Linked DNA regions of Ovis aries. The protein of the gene in region 1 interacts with the protein of each later gene in a pairwise test. Links are inferred from orthologs where the notes say so. Each region holds a gene or a part of one and is shown in the gene's direction. Other genes may lie near its edges.

Region 1 (6,123 bases):
TGGACTGTGTAAATCAGGGGTCTGCATCCTGTGGCTCATAAGGTGATTTTGAGTGGCATGGCCAAAGTCAGCCCTAGGCAAAGTCAAGAAGTAGGCGAAGTCTCTCTTTGCCTCCCCAGCTCTTCTCTCAGTGCTTCTTTCTTCTCTCCCAGTACCTTTCACTGAACGCTATCCCACTGCCCGTGCCTACTGTCTTGCTCAACTGTGTATCTACTATGTAACTTGCTAATGATGGTATAAGGTATAATCCATCTCACAAATATTTGCGTTTCAAAAAGGAACTCTGTAAGATGGAAAAGCCTTCAAGATCCACAGGAATGAAGCTATAATGGTGAAGCTATAATTGCTCATTAGCTCCAACAGAGGAAGAGAGAGGTAGTAGAGTTGCTGTTCTGGAGTGGGGGAGAGAGCTACCTACTCCTAAGGCCAACCTTGAACCTGAGCCCTCATCCCTTTCCCAACAGTCTGTTCTTGATGCTGTGGAAGGTTCCCCCTCACCAAGAAGTTATTTTCCCATCTCCCATCCCCTGTGTTATTAACCCACCCCCTCAGGCATAATAAGTTGACTACAGTAAATCCTTTCTAATAATCAGTTATTCCTGCGGGAGTGGGAGGGAAGGTTGTGGACCAAGCATCAGACAAGCATATCCCCATTCAACGAGGTCCAATCCCTGATCTCACAAGAGACCATTCCCTGAGATAGTAGCCACGATGGCCACCTTTGCCACCCTCTCTAAGATGACCAAAATGTGTGCATTCCCCTTTGTCCCTGGCCAAACCTTGTTAAAAGGAACTCTCTTTCTAGAAGTTTTGTTTATCAAGGTATTGCATTTAATTGTTGTAGGCAACTTTTCCTCCAGAGAGCACAGATGTTTAAAGGAGCACAGCTGTTAAATGATGTGGCATACTCAGGTTTGAACTTAGATGGCTAATAGAATTCCTTTTTTTTTTAAAATGAGAACCAAAAATGTTTGAAACAAAATTGACCTCAAATATCGTGAAAACCTTCATTTTAACTTAAGATAATTTGTTTTACAAAATGGAAGGTGATATATACTCTTTGGTGGGCTTATAAATTGGGAAGTGTAATGGATTACCCCCAGAAACGTCTCTGGAAGTTTCTGTTAACCTAACGTTTTTTTAAGTCGGACAATGGTATATAACTTTTAACTCTCGATAGGAACTAATTCTGAAGCATCAAATGCTTCTGAAACAGAATCTGACCACAGAGATGAACTCAGTGATTGGTCATTAGCTCCAACAGAGGAAGAGAGGGAGAACTTCCTGCGCAGAGGAGACGGGCGGCGGCGTGGCGGCGGAGGAAGAGGACAAGGAGGAAGAGGACGTGGAGGCAGCTTCAAAGGTACAGAGGGTTTTTCGTTTAAGAAATGAAGCTGAATTGTAACAACTGTCTGAAGTTCTATGAAAAAGCTAGGTGATTCAATGACATACTATCAAGCCCCCATTTCTTCCATTTTGTACTGGTCACCATAAGAAAGGCTCACGTAATTAATTAGCAATATCAGACAGGCTTCCTTACAGTTTACAAACATATGAATAACCCCTGATAACTAGTTCAGCTTCTTTGGGTACTCTAAACATCACATCTAATCATTAGTTCAGATTGACCTATCACACAGTTGATGTAGAACTGTGATGGCTTAGGAATGTTTTTTGTAACATGTGCTTCTGTGCACTAAGCCGCTTTAGTCATGTCCAGCTCTTTGTAGCCCTGTGGACTGTAGCCCACCAGGCTCCTCTGTCCATGGGATTCTCCAGGCAAGAGTACTAGAGTGGGTAGCCATTTCCTTATCCAGGGGATCTTCCGGACACAGTGATCGAACTCAGGTCTCATGTCCCTTGCATTGGCAGGCAGGTTCTTTGCCACTAGTGCCACCTGGATGCTAGATTATTAGACAGTGTGTAACTGAAATTGCTAGGTTGATTATATTTTAGATTCTGTGGTTGGTCTAAATAAATTGAGGATGTGGGAACAAAGAACTCTACAATAGGCATGTCAGAATCAGTGACCACTGAACCTTTTAAAAATGTCCCTATAGGAAACGACGATCACTCCCGAACAGATAATCGTCCACGTAATCCAAGAGAGGCTAAAGGAAGAACAGCAGATGGATCCCTCCAGGTAAACCTATGTGCCTCTTTTCATCCAAATTGTCCCAGTTACATAAGTTTGAGATTTAGGTGAATTTGCCATACTATATAGGTATTTGTGAAATACTTTCCTTTCAACATTACATTTGTGGTCAATTTTAGTCCTTTATGACAAGTATACAAAGAAGATGTATCTAAAGAATGTGCAGTCTCAGTATTTGTAAAGATTTCGACAACCACATTATGACTTAAGTACCACATAGGTAATCCTCCCTACCCCCATTCTCCAAGGAAAGAAACATCCAGGAATGTACTGAGAGAGACTTGTATAAGCCCTGAGGAACCCACATCCCTTCTCACCAGAGTTGCAAGGATAGGGTGTCCTCTTTGACTGGAAAGTAAGAAAAAGAAGGTATCTAGCTCACAATAGACAGGGCTGATGACACTTGGCTAGTACATGCTGAATCAGTCAGCTGCCTATTTAGAGCCAACCTCTACCCTGAGAACGCATCTCATGTGGCCAGCACCTGTGCTGAACACATTGTTAACATAATTTTAAAATGAGCCCCCAAGCACAGCCAGGTATCTTGGCTGGGTGTATTGTATCTCACTTAATGTTTCAACAGTACCCTGAGGTAAGAAGTTCTATTATTCTGTTTTATAGGTGAGTAAACTGAAGTTTAGAAAGACTGAGTCACATAGTTAGCATACACTAGAGTGATATTTCAGAGAAGGCAATGGCACCCCACTCCGGTACTCTTGCCTGGAAAATCCCATGGACGGAGGAGCCTGGTAGGCTGCAGTCCATAGTGTCGCTAAGAGTCGGACATGACTGAGCGACTTCACTTTCACTTTTCACTTTCATGCATTGGAGAAGGAAATGGCAACCCACTCCAGTGTTCTTGCCTGGAGAATCCCAGGGATGGCGGAGCCTGGTGGGCTGCCGCCTATGGGGTTGCACAGAGTCAGACACGACTGAAGCAACTTAGCAGCAGCAGCAGAGTAATATTTGAACCCTGGTACCTCATTCCCAGAACGCATGATCTCTTCGGCTGCTTCTTTAACTCTGAAGACTTAATCCAAGTAGTTGGGGGTCCCTTCATGACTATGGATTGGTTTGGGACCAGTACCTAGAATTAGTGAGACATAAATTTTAAGAGCAGAAACTTCATGACAGAATATTCCTTAGAATTCATAGCATTTGTAGAAAGAAAGAAAGAAAACGAAGTCGCTCAGGTGTGCCTGACTCTTTGCGACCCCATGAATAGTAGCCTGCACCAAGCTCCTCCGTCCATGGGATTTTCAAGGCAAGAAGTACTGGAGTGGGTTGCCATTTCCTTCTCCAGGGAATCTTCCAACCCAGGGATCGAACCTAGGTCTCTGGCATTGTAGACAGATGCTTTACCGTCTGAGCCACTAGGGAAGTCCTAGCATTTATAAGTAGGTGTTAACTATTAGCTGGTGCTTAAGGATCATCACAGAAAATATCTTAGACCTAGAGATTGATGAAATTATAAGGCGTTTATGTACCAGTTTCATATTTCCCCTGTTGACAACCAAACAGTTAAAACACTCACCCAGGACCAACAATTAAACACACTTTGAAATTCGAGTGCACCATTTTGGGACTATAGGTAGTCCCATTTGTACTTGAAGCATATCAGTACTTTCATTAATTGTTTTAGGCCTGTGTGTCAACATTATCTTTCTTTTGTACAGCATCTACAATTGCATTAGCAGTGTTAAGTGTTCAGTGCTGGCACTTAAAATATTATATAAATCTCAGAATATTATTTTTTAAATCATATCCATCTCTATTCTCTTCCTGGGATTCCAGTTCTCCCACGCATTAGTGTCTTCAAATTTCCCTGTACTATTCTTATTCTTCAGAGTTTAAGTTGTATGATCTCTGATTTTCCTTACGGTAATATAAGCTACTAGAAACCAGTGCTCATATGAGTATATATAGTGTGTGTATATATACATATATATGAATATATACAGTATGTGTGTATATTTATATACACACACATGTTGTAAGACAAAGGGAGCCCTCAGTGTAGAAAAAGTTAATCATACTTACGATAGAAATGAAGATGTCAACTAAAGACTAGTTAATAAGTGAGTTAAGTTATTGCTCTGGTAACGTCAGAATAGGAAGACAATAATTTGTCTCTCTCCTCCTGGGTTTCATATCTTTGAAGAATAAACCATTTTTTTGAACAGACCTGTATATTTTGCATATATATTTTGCAATCCGTAATAGGAGTTCATTTTAACTATTTGTTTCTCATTGTTTTGTTCTACTTAGAAGAAGACACAGTAGGATTGTGAGTTTTTATCTAACTTTGGATGCAGTGAGATGACCAAGGTGTTCCAGTTACAGAAGAAGAGTGTTTTAGAATCATAAACCAAATAAAGCTCCTACCTGACCTTAATTTCTCACACTTCTTCTATTCAAATCCCTTTTAACATGTGGAATATACACTTTGGGCTTAAATTTCTTGTCAGGCCAATTGCAGATTACAACAGAATATGGTCTGTGTATATAACAACTATAACTTGTTTTAGATCAGAGTTGACTGCAATAATGAAAGGAGTGTCCACACTAAAACATTACAGAATACCTCCAGTGAAGGTAATCGGCTGCGCACGGGTAAAGATCGTAACCAGAGGAAGGAAAAGCCAGACACCGTGGATGGCCAGCAACCACTTGTTAATGGAGTACCCTAAACTGCATAATTCTGGAGTGATATATCCCCTATACCATTTCCATAATTCTTATTCCATATTAGAAAACTTTGTTAGGCCAAAGACAAATAGTAGGCAAGGTGGCACAGGGCATGAAATGAACAATTCCGTTAAGAATTTTGCTTTTTTCACATTGGCCATAAGCAGCAATTTTCAAATTTGCACACAATGAGGTCTTAAAATTTTTGAAACATTACTTTTAAATAATTAAGTATACTTAGCACTTCAGGACAGGATTTTCATTTGGTTTACTTTTTAAATACCGCGCAGTTGATATTCTTTGTTAATTTGGACCGTTTACCCTGCATTGGGTGATAACTCACTGGTATATTTCAGTTTTTCTGAATAATAGCATTTATGGTAATCATATTAGACTTCTATTTTCAATCTCATATAGAAGTCCATAAAATACTAAGGCATTTCATGTCCTGTGTCAGTTTATGTTTTGGTCCACTTTTCCAGTATTTTAGTGGACCCTGAGATGTGTGTGATGTGACGTTTGTCATTTTCATTAGCAAAAAAAAAAAAAAAAGTTGTATGATCTGTGCCTTTTTTATATCTTGGCAGGTAGGAATATTATATTTGGATGCAGAGTTCAGGGAAGATAAGTTGGAACACTAAATGTTAAAAGATGTAGCAAACCCTGTCAAACATTAGTACTTTATAGAAGAATGCATGCTTTCCATATTTTTTTTCTTACATAAACATCAGGTTAGGCAGTATAAAGAATAAGACTTTTGTTTTTGTTCTGTTGCACTGAAGTTTGACAAATAGTGTTATTGAGAGGGATGTGTAATTTTTCTGTATAGACCGGAAAAGTAGTAACGGTCTTTTCATTTGCAAGAGGCTCAAATATTTTCAGCTAGGAACAAATCTTCCTGGTTGAAAGTTAGTAGGATACGCCTGCTCTTTGGCCTGATGACCAGTTTTAACTTAGAGCTGTCTTTTATTTTGTCCTCCCCGAGTTTTGTGAAGTTTCTCATTTTCATTTCAAGCTTATTTGGGGGAGGTAGAAAGGTCATTTGTGTGCATAATAATCCTGTGAAGTACAGGTACTTTGTCTGAGAAACATTGGAAGCAGGTTAAATGTTTTGTAAACTCTGAAATATTAGGTCTAATGTATAAGCAGAATTGGAAAGCAGACTAGGATGGTTAACACATGAAACTTTTTTCTTTAGTTTTTTTTTCCTTTTGTTTTTTTGACATATTGGGTTTCAGTTTTGAGGGTTTTTTTGTGTTTGTTTTTTTTTTTTTTTTTTA
Region 2 (6,123 bases), on another chromosome or scaffold:
CTCCCAACACCTCTCTCAAGTAGAGAGTGAAAAGGGCAGGGAGCCCAGAAAGCCCATAACCCCCCGCCAGGACCCTCCCTACTTCATAGTCACCCCCACCCCAAACCCCAGTTCCGGCCCTGCTGTTGCTCCCAGTGAGTCGTGATGGAGCAGGATTGGCCCTGGGGGCCCAGACTCCACCTCATGAGTCCTTTCTCACCTGGTCCCAGTGCTGAAGAAGGTGAAGCATCGGCTGGTCGAGAACATGAGCTCGGGGACGGCAGATGCTCTGGGTCTGAGCCGGGCCATCCTGTGCAATGGTGAGCCCCCTTCTCCCAGCCCCACCACTGGTCCCAGGGGACTCAGGCCCAGGCCTCCGGGGCTCGGGTGCCACGGCTGCCCACCAGACCTGTATGTGTCCCGCTGGCCTGGGCCAGGCCTCTGCTGGTGGGGCCAATACTCACCATCTCTCTGCCTCCCTGGAGGCCTCCCCAAGCTCCCACAGATCACCCACAGTGCACAGTGAAGGCCTCTTACAGCCCGTGTCCCCCCGCTTTCCAGCAGGGGTTCACAGATAGGCCCAAGTCACAGATGAGAGACTCCTGGTGGGCAGGTGCCTCCTGCCAAGCTCCCCAAGCTGGTGCCTTCGCCACTGCCCCCCAGGTGCTCTCACACAGCCAGGCCTCCCCCACCCCAGCCCCAGTTCTACCCTGTGCCCTCTCGTCACCCCAGCACGTCCCGGCTGCTCCCGGGCTGCTTACCCGGCCCCCCGCCTCTCTCCAGGAGGTGGTGCTGCTGCCCAGCAATTCCTGCTCAGACCTGGAGGTGGCTGTGCTCGCCTCCCGCAGCGGGAAAACTGAGTACATGCACATTCACACCCACACATGCCTGTGCACACACAACTCTCTCCCCACACGCTCACACCCACCCATGCGTGTGCACACGCGCTCTCCCCGGGGGGTGGGGGGAACCAGTGAAACACGCAGTCCCGCTCCCGCCGTCACCAGCCCAAGTTTATAAATAGCAGCAGCTCTGCTGTGTACGTGTGGGGACAGATATAAATACCAATATAAATTGTAGGCTCAGCTGGGCGCACTGGGCTTTATTGGCTGGGACATCGGGGGTGGGGTCTGAGCTTGTTCCAGAGGGTGTACAAAAGTGGCGGCTGCTATTTCCAGCTTCTTGGTGCCTATAAATCCCTGTTACTGTAGTTACCATGCGTCGAGATGAAATTAGAACTGGTTGTTGTGTTTTTTCCCCCCCAAACCTTGCAATTTCCCCAGCCTTAAATAGGGTTTCTAAAATTGAAGCTGTCATGATGTCCCATGACCCAGCTAAAAACAACAGCACGGCGCTTACGTGGCTCCTTCACTGCCAGGCTGGCCGGGCGCCAGGGTGCTGGGGCGCTGGGGCCTGGAGGCCAGCCCAGTGGCTGAAGCCTCTGAAGACCTCTAAGGAGCGCCCCACCAACCCCTAGAACCCAAACCCTCCTCCCTGACAGCCTGACACACACTGCATTCTCTGCCCAGATTTAAGAATCCAGACCTGGCTTCTACAACCCTTCCTCTCCTCCCACTCAGAAAACCCTGGCCCAGGTCAGCACAGGAAACTGAGGGGGCAGAGGGCACTCTGGCCTGCACAGCCCTCGCTGCGCACCTTTAGGCAAGTTGCTTTACCTGTCTGAACCTTGGTTTTCCCTATAAGATGGGGGAAGTAATCTGCCCCAAAAAGCTCATGTGGAGAAAGGACTGAGCTGGGTGGGGGGCTCCAGTGAGGCCAGGCTCTGTCTTAGGAGGCCCTGGGCCAGGCAGCCACCAGCATGGACCCTGCCCCACACTTGCTGCCCGTGCTCCTGGTGGGGAGGTGGGTGTGGGCCTCACCCTTATCAGAGTGGAGGAGGGTGGTGATCACTGCTGGCCGGAGCCCCGCCCCACCCTGATCTGGAATGCAGCCCCGGCCCTGGTCATCCACTTGTTCCTATCTTGAGCCCTGGAGGTGAGGCAGCTGCCCCCATCCCTCACCTGGCAGCCCTTACTGCCCCTGCCAGCCATGGCCTGGCCACTATCACCGCTAGACCAGGAGCCTGGAAAGCACCACTCAGATTTCATTCACCAAGGTCATTCCCTGGCCCAACACGGGGTCTGGCACATAGTGGGTGCAGGATAAACACCTGTGAAGCCAGTGAAGACGATCGCCAAGGCCCACTCCAGTGCAAGCTCTTCCTCAAAGCCCTTCCTGCCTTTCTCTCCCCTCCCAGATTGCTGTCCCTTCTGAGCTGCCAGGTGGTGGCGGGCTGCCTTGAGCCTACCTTAAGAGTTACTGTCAGGCATCCCGTCTCTCCCACTTGTCTCTGACTGCCTTGCTTCCTAGCCGTTGGCAGGGCGTGTGTTGGAAGTTCTGGCCAGGTCCTTGACTGCTAGGCAGGGGCTTGCCTTCCACCGGCCTTGGGCAGCTACCCTTGGGCATGGCCTTGGGGAGGGCCCAATCCAGTTTTCACTCCTCACTTCTGGAAGCACCCGCATCCTTGTCACCATGTCCCAGCCTCCTGGGGTGGTGCTTATCACAGCCTCCTGAGGGTCGCCCTGCTGTCCCGCCTTGTCTGGGTATAGTGGGCTCGTCACAAAACACCTGCGAGCCCAGCCGCCCTGAGGTGCCCAGTCCCCATCCCTGGGACCCTGTCCTGTTCTGTTCCTGGTTCTTTGGGGGCCACCTCGCCTCTCCCAAGCCTGGCTCCAGTGATCCCTGGGTCTCTCCCCTCACCCCTGGCTCTCTGATCCCCACAGATGGGCTCGTCAAGAGGCTGGAGGAGCTGGAGCGGACCGCCGAGCTGTATAAAGGTGGGCAGGCACACCCTCCCGCCAGCAGCCCTGGGTGGGTGGGGTACTGCACCAGAAGTGCCTGGCCCGGGTTCTCCCCGAGGTGGAGCTCTGGAGCCCTGCTGTAAACGTGATGGCAGTGAGGGGCAGGGTGCCAGCCACACAATTCTAGGACCGTAGTCATTAAAAATTCTTAAGAAAATCTAAAGACCTGCTTTTTCTGATTATAAAAGTAACATGTGCCCATAAAAAAGAACGGCACACGTAAACCGAGTGAGAAAAGCCTGAACCTCAAGGACAGTGTGGGCCTCGGGTGGGGTGGGGGTTTGGAGGCCGTGTCCTGGACCAATGTCATCCCCACCGTGTGGTCCTGTCCCTCTCATTTTGGGTCTTTCCCACAGGGATGACAGAACACACCAAGAACCTCCTCCGGGCCTTTTACGAGCTGTCACAGACGCACCGGGGTAAGGATGCCCTGATCCTGCTACATGACCCTGGAAAAAACCCTGCACTCTGGGCTCAGCACCTCCCTACACCCCACGGGGAGGGTGAGGGCGAACTTCTCTCTGGGGCCTTTCTGCTGCCCAAGCTCAAGCAGACCCTGCAGCATCTGACCTCATGTCAGATTTGGGGGTGTGATGGTGATGGGGCCAGCGGGGAGCCTCTCGACCAGCTAAGCTTCTGTGGGGTGCAGAAGATCCCCGTGCAGGCTCTGTCCTGTCTATACTGCTGCTTACAATGTACAAGGCCTTTTCTTATTCCCGATCATGTTTCCTACACGTTTGTTAGCTTCAGTTAATCCCATTTTACAGCTGGGAAGACAAAGCCCAGGTAGAAGAAGCAGTAACCCAGCTCCTTAGGTGCAGGGTTGGCCTTAGGACCAGATTCCTAGACTAGTACTCTGCTCCCAGACAGTTTCACCTACTCCACTTTGACCCTGTCTTCCTCGCATGGTCTGGTCACTTCAGGAACCAGGTCAGCTCCTTGGATGTAGACCCACCTTCCTTGGGGGTACAGGTCCAGCTCTTAGGGGTGTAGATCCACCTTTCTTGAGGTTTAGACCCACCTCCCTGGGATGTAGACCACCAGCAGACCTCAACCTCCGACCCACCACGCCCCCCACCATGCTTCTCCCCAACAAATCCCTGGCTTCTCCGTTAAGGGGTCAAGTAAAGGGGTCAAGTAGGGGCGGCCTTCAGAACAAACTTGTCACGCAGCCTTTGGGGACGTGTTCTCTGTGATCGGGGTGCGGGAGCCCCAGCCCGCTGCGAGTGAGGCTTTTGTGAAGTTCGCCGATGCCCACCGCAGCATCGAGAAGTTTGGCATCCGGCTCCTGAAGACGATCAAGCCGGTAGGTCACGTGGAGCGTGCGTGGGTCCGTAGGTGAGCGGGGAGGAGCAGTGTGGCCAGCGGAGTGTCTTGTTCTGGAGGCGGAGCACCTAGGGGCTGGTTTGGGGGTGGGCTGCTACAGCTGACCGTGGCTGAGTCCTTCTTCCTCCACGACCTCAGCACTGACCTCCAGGCTGGTTTCCGGCCCTGGCCCCACCAGAGTTACAACTTGCCCTTGGCCTGGGCTGTCTCCTCCTCGGAATGGACAGGGCAGTCGGGGATCTCCCCTCGGCTCTGACACCTGAGTCCACTAGAAGGGTGGACGCACCAGTGCCACTCCTTGTCGCCCTCTCCAGCCTTCACCCGCCCTTGCCCAGGGGGCCTGAGCGTCCACCCCACCTCCCCTTCCAGATGCTGGCAGACCTGAACACGTACCTCAACAAAGCCATCCCGGACACTCGCCTCACCATCAAGAAGTACCTGGACGTGAAGTTCGAGTACCTGGTAAGTGGGCCCCGGCCTCCTGGGGGGGCGGTGGTGTGGGCCCGGCCTGCTGGGGTCAGAGCCCACCTGGAGGTTTGTTCCTCTTCAGTCGGCCGCTTGACGGCCAACGGGTCAGGGCCAGGACCTTGGTGACACCTGACTGGGGGCGTGGCGCCAGGGCCCTAGGGAGGTGTTCGGGGCTCAGGCAGCAGCCTAGGCCCTGCCTTGACTCTTCAGAGGAGATCTGGGGTGGGTGGCGCCCTTGCTCGGGACCCACTCTGACCCCATGGGAATTTTCTTCAGTCACCCTTTAACAGTGGATCAGTCTAGCTCACTGGTTGTAACATGGATTTTCATGAGTCTTATGATCAAATGGTAATTCTGCGGTCAAAGGAGTTGAGGAAAAATACTCCACTGAGCAGGCCCACCCAGGTCCTTTGCTTCAGGACTTGTCAGAGCCTTCGATAGACCCATGTGTAACGTGGGTCTTCAGGGGCTTCCTCAAGTTCTTTGGATCCTGAATCCTTTAGCCCAGAGCATCTGTTGGGACTTGGGTGTAAACGCTGGGCTCTCGGGCCCTTTCCATCGTCCCTGATGAGTGCCCTCACCACCCTGAGCCTCCAGGGCAAGGGCCAGCCTCTCCCCACACGTCTCAGCTCTTTCCAGCTCAGGGTGTGCAGGGCCCACAAGGCCTGGCACGGCTGCTCCTCTGGGTGGCCGAGGGCTCCAGGGGGGCATGGGAGGAACTGGGGCCATCAGGGTGCGCGCCCAGGTGGTGCAGCCCCCCTGACAGCCTGGCCTCACCCGCCCCACAGTCCTACTGCCTGAAGGTCAAGGAGATGGACGACGAGGAGTACAGCTGCATTGTGAGTGGGGTGGGGGAGCACGGCCCTGGTCCTGGAGTGGCTCGGGGTGCACACGCCTCTCCCTGCCTGCCTCACAGAGCCCCAAGAGCGTCCTGGGCCTGCCAGGGACACGGGGTGGGGCGGGCCTGCCCAGGAGAGGCCTGGGGACTTGGCCAGGCTCCTGTTTGTGCAGATCTGGGGGCTGTCCTTCCGTCCCTCCCTGTGGCCTCTGCAGGCCTCCCAAGTGCTGGCCATTTTTGCCGTGGAACCATCCCCACTGCCTGCTCCCAGACCAGCTGCCCTCTAGACTTGGTGAGGCTCCTGCAGGAAAAAAAAAATGCCCTTCCTCTCACTCCTGAGAGCTGGGTTTTTTTCACTTGCTACTTTGTAATATTTTTGATAGCAGGGTCCATCTGTGACTCAACACTCATTTAATGTGGCAAGAGTCTGGGGTTTTTTTTTGTTCTTGTTTTCACAAAGCTATCCCTAAGCACTTCTAGCAACTGCAGGCGTCTCAGAAACGGGGAACGGTGGCAGCTTTGAAAAGTGCCGTGTGGTGGGGGGGTTGCGAACTGGCGGGTTCTCTGCAGCCTCTCTGCCGCCACCCCCCGACCCCTGCCGCCTGCCCAGGGTCCCTGACGTGCTTCCCCCGGGCCCAGGCCCTCGGGGAA
Region 3 (6,123 bases), on another chromosome or scaffold:
CCAACCCTGTTGGTGTTCCCTTCTTTACATTTCCGTAGCATCTCGAGGAAGGTTGCAAGAGAGTGTGGCTTTCTGACTCATTCACTCTGGTTTCCTCTGCACAGTCAGAAATTCAGAGAAGTCACCCAGAGTTCAGCAGCCTCTCTCACACCAGTGCTATGTCCAGGCAATTACCACAGCTCTGCCCAGAATTGTTGCTTCCACAAACTAGGTTACTAAACCCCACTTCACCAAGCATCCTTCCATGCTGCTATCAGATTCTCAGGCTCTTCATTTCTCTTGCCTGCTTTTATTCCTCCCACTTCTCGGCTTCCCAGCCTTCTCCCTCTCAATTCTCAACCTGGCCTCTTGGAGTTTTGCAGTTTCCAAGCTCTCTACAGTGTGTTAGTAAACTCAGATGCCAGCAGGGGGCGCCTTTCACCTTAAATGGAAAAGTCTGGCACACCCCTTGCAGAACCATGAGTACCCATCCTCTAGCCCAGTCCCTTAGGTGTCAGGCATGACTAATCCCCCGTCACATAGCAACTGCGAGCTGAGGAAGCTGCTTTCAGCCTAGTTGTTCAGGCTCCCTCGGGCTTGCTGTACATTTGACAAAAGGAGCAAAGTAAGCCAGCATGCAGGAAACTATTGGGTTGGCCAAAGTGTTCATGCTAGTTTTTCCGTTACATTGTAAGGAAAAACCCAAATGAACTTTTTGGCCAACCCAATATTATATGGACTGGAATGTTTAGAATCAGCCTGTCAACCTGCCTATAGGGCACTGTCAGCAAAAATGTGTACTTTTCGTTAATGAAGTCAGCAGTGAGATTCGTTGGGAATCTTTGTTGTAGTTTCCTTGGGGAAAGGGGTGAATAGTTTCACATTCATTTACCATCTAGTGAGTATGCATCAAGTGGCCGCTGTGTTTGCCAGGGCCTGGGGATGCAACAGCAGCACCACTCAAGTCTTTCTCGAGGATCTGAGTACATACACGTTGCTAGACCCCGCTTCAGATCCTATCTCTGCAGCTGTGTCTAACCTCTCTGTGTCTCCAGCTCCTCATCTGTAGAATAAAGTTATCATATAGAACTTGACTCATAAGATGGTGAGAATTAAGGATAATGTCTCCTAAATCCCTAAGCACAGACTCTGGCCCATGGGGAGGACTCAAGAAGTGGCCACCACAATAATAAACGAGAGTCCTCTGCATGTCTTCACAGAAATCAAATTTCGGATTGAGATTAGTTCTATGTGTCCTTCTTTGTGACCACACATGGGTTTTTTTAATAGAGTATGTCACTAACAGGGGATGTGGGTGTGCACACGCCTACATCTGCTTTTACTTTGGTTTTTTGAAACGTTTCCAATAGATGTGACTGGCTTATGTCTCTGCCTCTTCTCATGCTAGGTAATGGGTTTTGGTCTGTACCTGATGGATGGGAATGTCAGTAACATTTACAAATTGGATGCCAAGAAGAGAATCAACCTCAGCAAAATTGATAAGTTCTTTAAGGTCAGCAACTGGGGCTGGGGCTGGGCAGTGGGCCAGGGGGCGGTCTCTCTGGGGAGAGGAATGAAATTAGGCAGCAAAGAATGATGCTTATTGATTGAACGGTGACTCTAAGGATCCCAAGAGGAGGAGGAGGATAGAGACAGGGGCCCTAGCTGCCTTGGGTACCGGAATCCACGCTATTGAAGGTGTGTGCCTCAGTCTCAGGACACAGCCAGAAGGCCTTGCAATGCTTTCCACACACTGCTTTTACCCTTTCCTGAAACCCCTTGCCATCTAAAGAAAGAGGTGTGTCCCAGAAGACAGAGCCTGCTTTAATTTTCAGTATAAATCAGAGCTCGCAGTTGCAGGAGGATTAGAGAGTGGACGTTACATTGATTCACGTTCACAGGCTCACAGACTCTCCTGGCCCACCAGAGGCCTACTCCGCTCCCTGCCTCCAGAATGCCTCATGGGGTCCAGCCTGCTCTCAGTCCATTCAAGTGCCTCAGAGATTTCATCTTGTGGCCCCAAATCTTTTAACAACAAACCTTGAGGTTTGCCTTTGAGGTTTTTGCAAAGGGATTTTCTACTTTGGAAGTCAGTTCCATATTGTCAGCGTGTCCTAGCATCAGGCACTTCAGGTGTGGAGTAGAGCCTCTGAGATCAGACATGGGAAAACCAAGCTTAAATTAAAAGTGGATCCCTTTGAAGATGTGTCTGGGCCTGGGTCTCACTAACTCTTGGAGGTTAGTAGGGAAGTAAGTCACCCAAGGGGCTTCCCAGATGGTGTTAGTGGTAAAGAACTTGCCTGCCAATGCAGGAGACATAAAAGACGCTGGTTTGATCCCTGGACAGGGAAGATCCCCTGAAGGAGGGCATAGCAACCCACTCCAGTATTGCTGCCTGGAGAATCCCATGGACAGAGGAGCCTGGTGAGCTACAGTCCATGGGGTCACAAAGAGTCAGACATGACTATGTGACTTAGCATACATGCACAAGTCACCAAAAGCATCCTAAGGTTTGGCTTGGCTTCTTTTTGAAGCTAAAACTTTCACTTTTCTCTAGGACTGCCCAAAATGAAAACTGGGCTTATCTGGGGGGAACTGGCAAAGTCCACCCCTGCCTTAAATCCACATAAATGAGTTGGGGGTGGAATTGAAGACCATAGTCTCACCTCACACAGACCTGGGTTTTAGTCTCTCTCTTCCATGACATAACTGGGTGATGTTGGGAAAGTCACAGAGCTTCTCTGAAACTGAGTTCTCTAACCTGGAAAATAGGAATGCTAAAGGTGTCTACTTTATGGGGTTCCCTTGAGGATTCAATGAGCAACATAGGTGTCAGACCCCTGGGTTATAATCCTGGCCCCTTGGCTTCTAGGTGGTCTGACTTTGTGAAAAAAAAAAAAAAATCACTCTAGCTGAGTTGTCAAAGCTTCAATTTGTCCATCTTGTTAAATGGGAATAATAGTAGTACTGATCTCACTCAGCTATTCTATGGAGTGAGATAACTGTTTTCTGTTTTGCTTAATAGACTATTTTTTAGAGCAGTTTTAGGCTCATAGCAAAATTGAGTAGAATGAACAGATATTTCCCATGTAACTCCTATTCCTACTCATACCCAACCTCCCCCATTATCACAACTCACCAGCAGAGAGGGACATCTGTTTTAGTCCATAAATCTGCACTGTTAACACATCATTATCACCCAGATCCCATGGTGTGCAGTAGGGATAATTCATGGCATTGTGCATTCTGTAAGTTTTAACAAATGTATAATGACTATATCTACCATTGTTGTTGTACTTTGTTGCTAAGGTGTGTGACCCAGTGGATTATAGCCCACCCAGCTCCACTATCCCTGGGATTCTCCAGGCGGGAGTACTGGAGTGGGTTGCCATGCCCTCCTCCAGGGGATCTTCCCAACCCAGGGATGGAACCCAGGTCTCCTGTGTCTCCTGCATTGGCAGGCGCTTTCTTTACTGCTGAGCCACCAGGGAAGCCCCTGTATCTACCATTGTGGTATCATACAGAATAGTTTCACTGCCCTAAAAGTCTCTGCTTTTGAAGGACTGAGCACTGCAGTGCCTCATGAATCAGAAGCAGACAGTGAATACCAGCCTCCCCACCATTAGTCCTCCTCTTCGGATGGGAGTTGTCTGCCCTCTAGTGTTGGGTGTTCAAGGTTTCAATTCACCTTGTGGAGTTTCTCAAGAAGGTCACTCCCAGCCAGTGGAATCCAGGCACTCACATCTAGTCCAGAGTTTGAAACAGCGAGGCGCCTTTAATCCAAGGGAAATTAGAGCAGAGAAGACCCTGCCCTGGGAGGCAGGCCATCTGATTCTCGTTCTTCATCTGTTCTGCCTGCTGGGTAACCTTGGACAAGTCTCTTTGCCTCTCTGGGCTCAGATGCTGGAACATAGAAATGGTTGGAGGCAGAGGAGGACTAGGCTGGCTAAGGCTCTTTGTGGTTCCCGAGTCACAGGGCAACAACATCGGGGTCAGAACTAGGGGTCAGCCCGGAGGCACACAGGGAGGCCTGGCTCTCCCAGTGGAAGGCAATGCCGGCCCCTCCCTCCGTGTCTCACAAGCTGTGTTTGCTTCCTTTGCAGCAGCTGCAGGTGGTGCCCCTTTTCGGCGACATGCAGATAGAGCTGGCCAGATACATTAAGACCAGTGCTCACTATGAAGAGAACAAGTCCAAGTGAGTGCCTGCCGTAATGTCTCTCGGCTCCCGCAAGGACGCCCAGCCCGGGCAGGGGGCCGAGGGGCCATTTCAGCCCCTCCCCTCTCCCCAGACCCTGGGCAGGTGGAGTCTGTCCATCACTGGCTCCTGACAGAGGGGAGCAGCGGATGGTGATCTGAGCCCTTTTGCACTCGCCCTTTGCTGCCAGGGTTCAGAAGCGCTCAGAGCACAGCCCCGCCCCTTCTCTGTCCCTGTGGTGGCCCATGCCACCTGCAGGGGGACAGCAGGAGTCCTCCTGCCCCCAGGCAGGGGGAGGAGTGCTGGCCCTCAGTGGTCAGATGGAGCGAGGTGGCCTTGTTCTTCATCCCGCTGGTTCTCTCCTCAGGTCTTGTGTCCGTGCAGTAAGTATGCCGTGCAGGGTATGGTACCAACGGTTCCAGGTGTGAAGTGGGTCAATGGCCTCCTCCAAGGTTGTTCTAGAAACCACCCTCTAGGTCATCTGTGCTAAGATCCGGGGTGTCAGCACCTCATGGAAGTTTGGGGAACAATGGGCTACAGGCTTGGCTACCCCTTTGATCTCTGGTCTTGTTAAGGAGGTTTCTTCTGCCTACATTTCCAACAGAAAGGGACAAACCATGTTTTCATCAGGGATGAGGGTATTAAAGCCTTAAAAATACATAAATGCAGAGTCCTTGAACTCCACCAGCTTTGAGCCACTGCAGATGACTCTCACCAGGGAGAGCTTCGTAACCCAGTGGCTGCTGGTATGTGAGGAGGTCTTCCAGGAAAAGCATGGAGTCCTGAATGCTGGACTTATTTCCTTGTGAATTCTTAGCCACCTGAAGGTGGTTGGAGTGGTGATGTGCTCAGGGTGGGGGGCAGGGGCTTGAGTGATGTGTCCCCAACCCGCACAGGGAACTCAGGGTAAAGGTTGTGTCGAAGTATAGGCATGAGGAAGTGTCAGCATTCTCAGTATTCTCTGGAGCGCCCCTTCAGAGCTCCTTCTGAAATAGTGAATTCTCCCTAAACGTGTATCTGCCTTGCTTGGTGCGCATGCTTAGTCTGTCCACTGGGTCACCCGGCGCCGGATGGCAGAAGACAGTGACTGGGGTTGTCTTTTGTTCTATTGGCAAAGGAGAATGCAGACTCTCATTCATTCATTTCTTCCCCAATTTAAGATGTTTTCTCAAAGATCTCTTTTTCAAAAATTGAGGGAAGTGTTGAGAAAGAAGAGAGAAAGAGGGAGAAGATGAGGGCAAGAGAGAGCAGTGCCTCTCAGGATGGCTGTGGCTTTCTCTCGGTGAAGAGCTTCCCTGTTCCCGGCTCACTGTTGCAAAACAGACACAACCCCGTTAGGTTTTTGCAGTCCCGCCCAAAGGCCTTTGTCAATGGCAGCTTCAGCCACAGGACAAAGTGCTGCCAGGGTCAGCTGACAGATCTGGGAGGTCACCCACCTTGCTTTTTCTTAGCTTGGATTCCAGCCCTTTGTAGCCCTAGAGAGGCTGCAAGTCCCTCCCTGCTCATGTGACTGGTAAGTACTGTGGACACCCGTTACCTGGGAAAGTGTGGGACTGGGCCTTAGAAGAGGCCAGCCCCAAGGAGGAGAAGGAAAGGCTTTTCCATGCAGCCTGCAGTGCCTACGGTGGAATTTAGCAGGCACTGTTGCTAGTGGGTAGGACACCTCTTGGGTGTTCCCAGTGGAGCCAGTCACGTTAGCTGAGCAACAAGACTAACTAGTGGATGGAAGGATCCTGCCCCTCCCAGGGCCAGGACCCACTTTGACACCCTGATTTTCTGCCCAGGTGGACGTGCACCCAGAGCAGCATCAGCCCCCAGTACAATATCTGCGAGCAGATGGTTCAGATCCGCGATGACCATATCCGCTTCATCTCGGAACTCGCTCGCTACAGCAACAGTGAGGTGAGCTTGCTCTGGCTGGTGGGATGGAGGCCCATGTGGGACTAGGG

What was found.
Region 2: the proteins of FMR1 (region 1) and PICK1 interact in a two-hybrid assay, tested with the Homo sapiens proteins (2 studies listed by BioGRID and IntAct). The link is inferred for Ovis aries from reciprocal best matches to the Homo sapiens genes FMR1 and PICK1.
Region 3: the proteins of FMR1 (region 1) and CYFIP2 interact in a two-hybrid assay, tested with the Homo sapiens proteins (2 studies listed by BioGRID and IntAct). The link is inferred for Ovis aries from reciprocal best matches to the Homo sapiens genes FMR1 and CYFIP2.

The regions. Positions count from the first base shown.
Region 1 is NC_056080.1:87,700,170-87,706,292, reverse strand, and holds part of FMR1 (fragile X messenger ribonucleoprotein 1), read left to right. Parts: intron 1-354; coding exon of another isoform or gene 355-539; exon of another isoform or gene 540-1,180; coding exon 1,181-1,363; intron 1,364-2,060; coding exon 2,061-2,143; intron 2,144-4,423; coding exon of another isoform or gene 4,424-4,438; exon of another isoform or gene 4,439-4,683; coding exon 4,684-4,845; 3' UTR 4,846-6,123.
Region 2 is NC_056056.1:215,674,114-215,680,236, forward strand, and holds part of PICK1 (PRKCA-binding protein), read left to right. Parts: intron 1-209; coding exon 210-299; intron 300-740; exon of another isoform or gene 741-934; intron 935-2,287; exon of another isoform or gene 2,288-2,762; coding exon 2,763-2,816; exon of another isoform or gene 2,817-3,196; coding exon 3,197-3,259; exon of another isoform or gene 3,260-4,012; coding exon 4,013-4,146; intron 4,147-4,535; coding exon 4,536-4,628; intron 4,629-5,422; coding exon 5,423-5,473; intron 5,474-6,111; coding exon 6,112-6,123. UniProt on the Homo sapiens protein: Probable adapter protein that bind to and organize the subcellular localization of a variety of membrane proteins containing some PDZ recognition sequence.
Region 3 is NC_056058.1:66,564,178-66,570,300, forward strand, and holds part of CYFIP2 (cytoplasmic FMR1-interacting protein 2), read left to right. Parts: intron 1-1,387; coding exon 1,388-1,492; intron 1,493-4,082; coding exon 4,083-4,174; intron 4,175-5,958; coding exon 5,959-6,076; intron 6,077-6,123. UniProt on the Homo sapiens protein: Involved in T-cell adhesion and p53/TP53-dependent induction of apoptosis. Does not bind RNA. As component of the WAVE1 complex, required for BDNF-NTRK2 endocytic trafficking and signaling from early endosomes.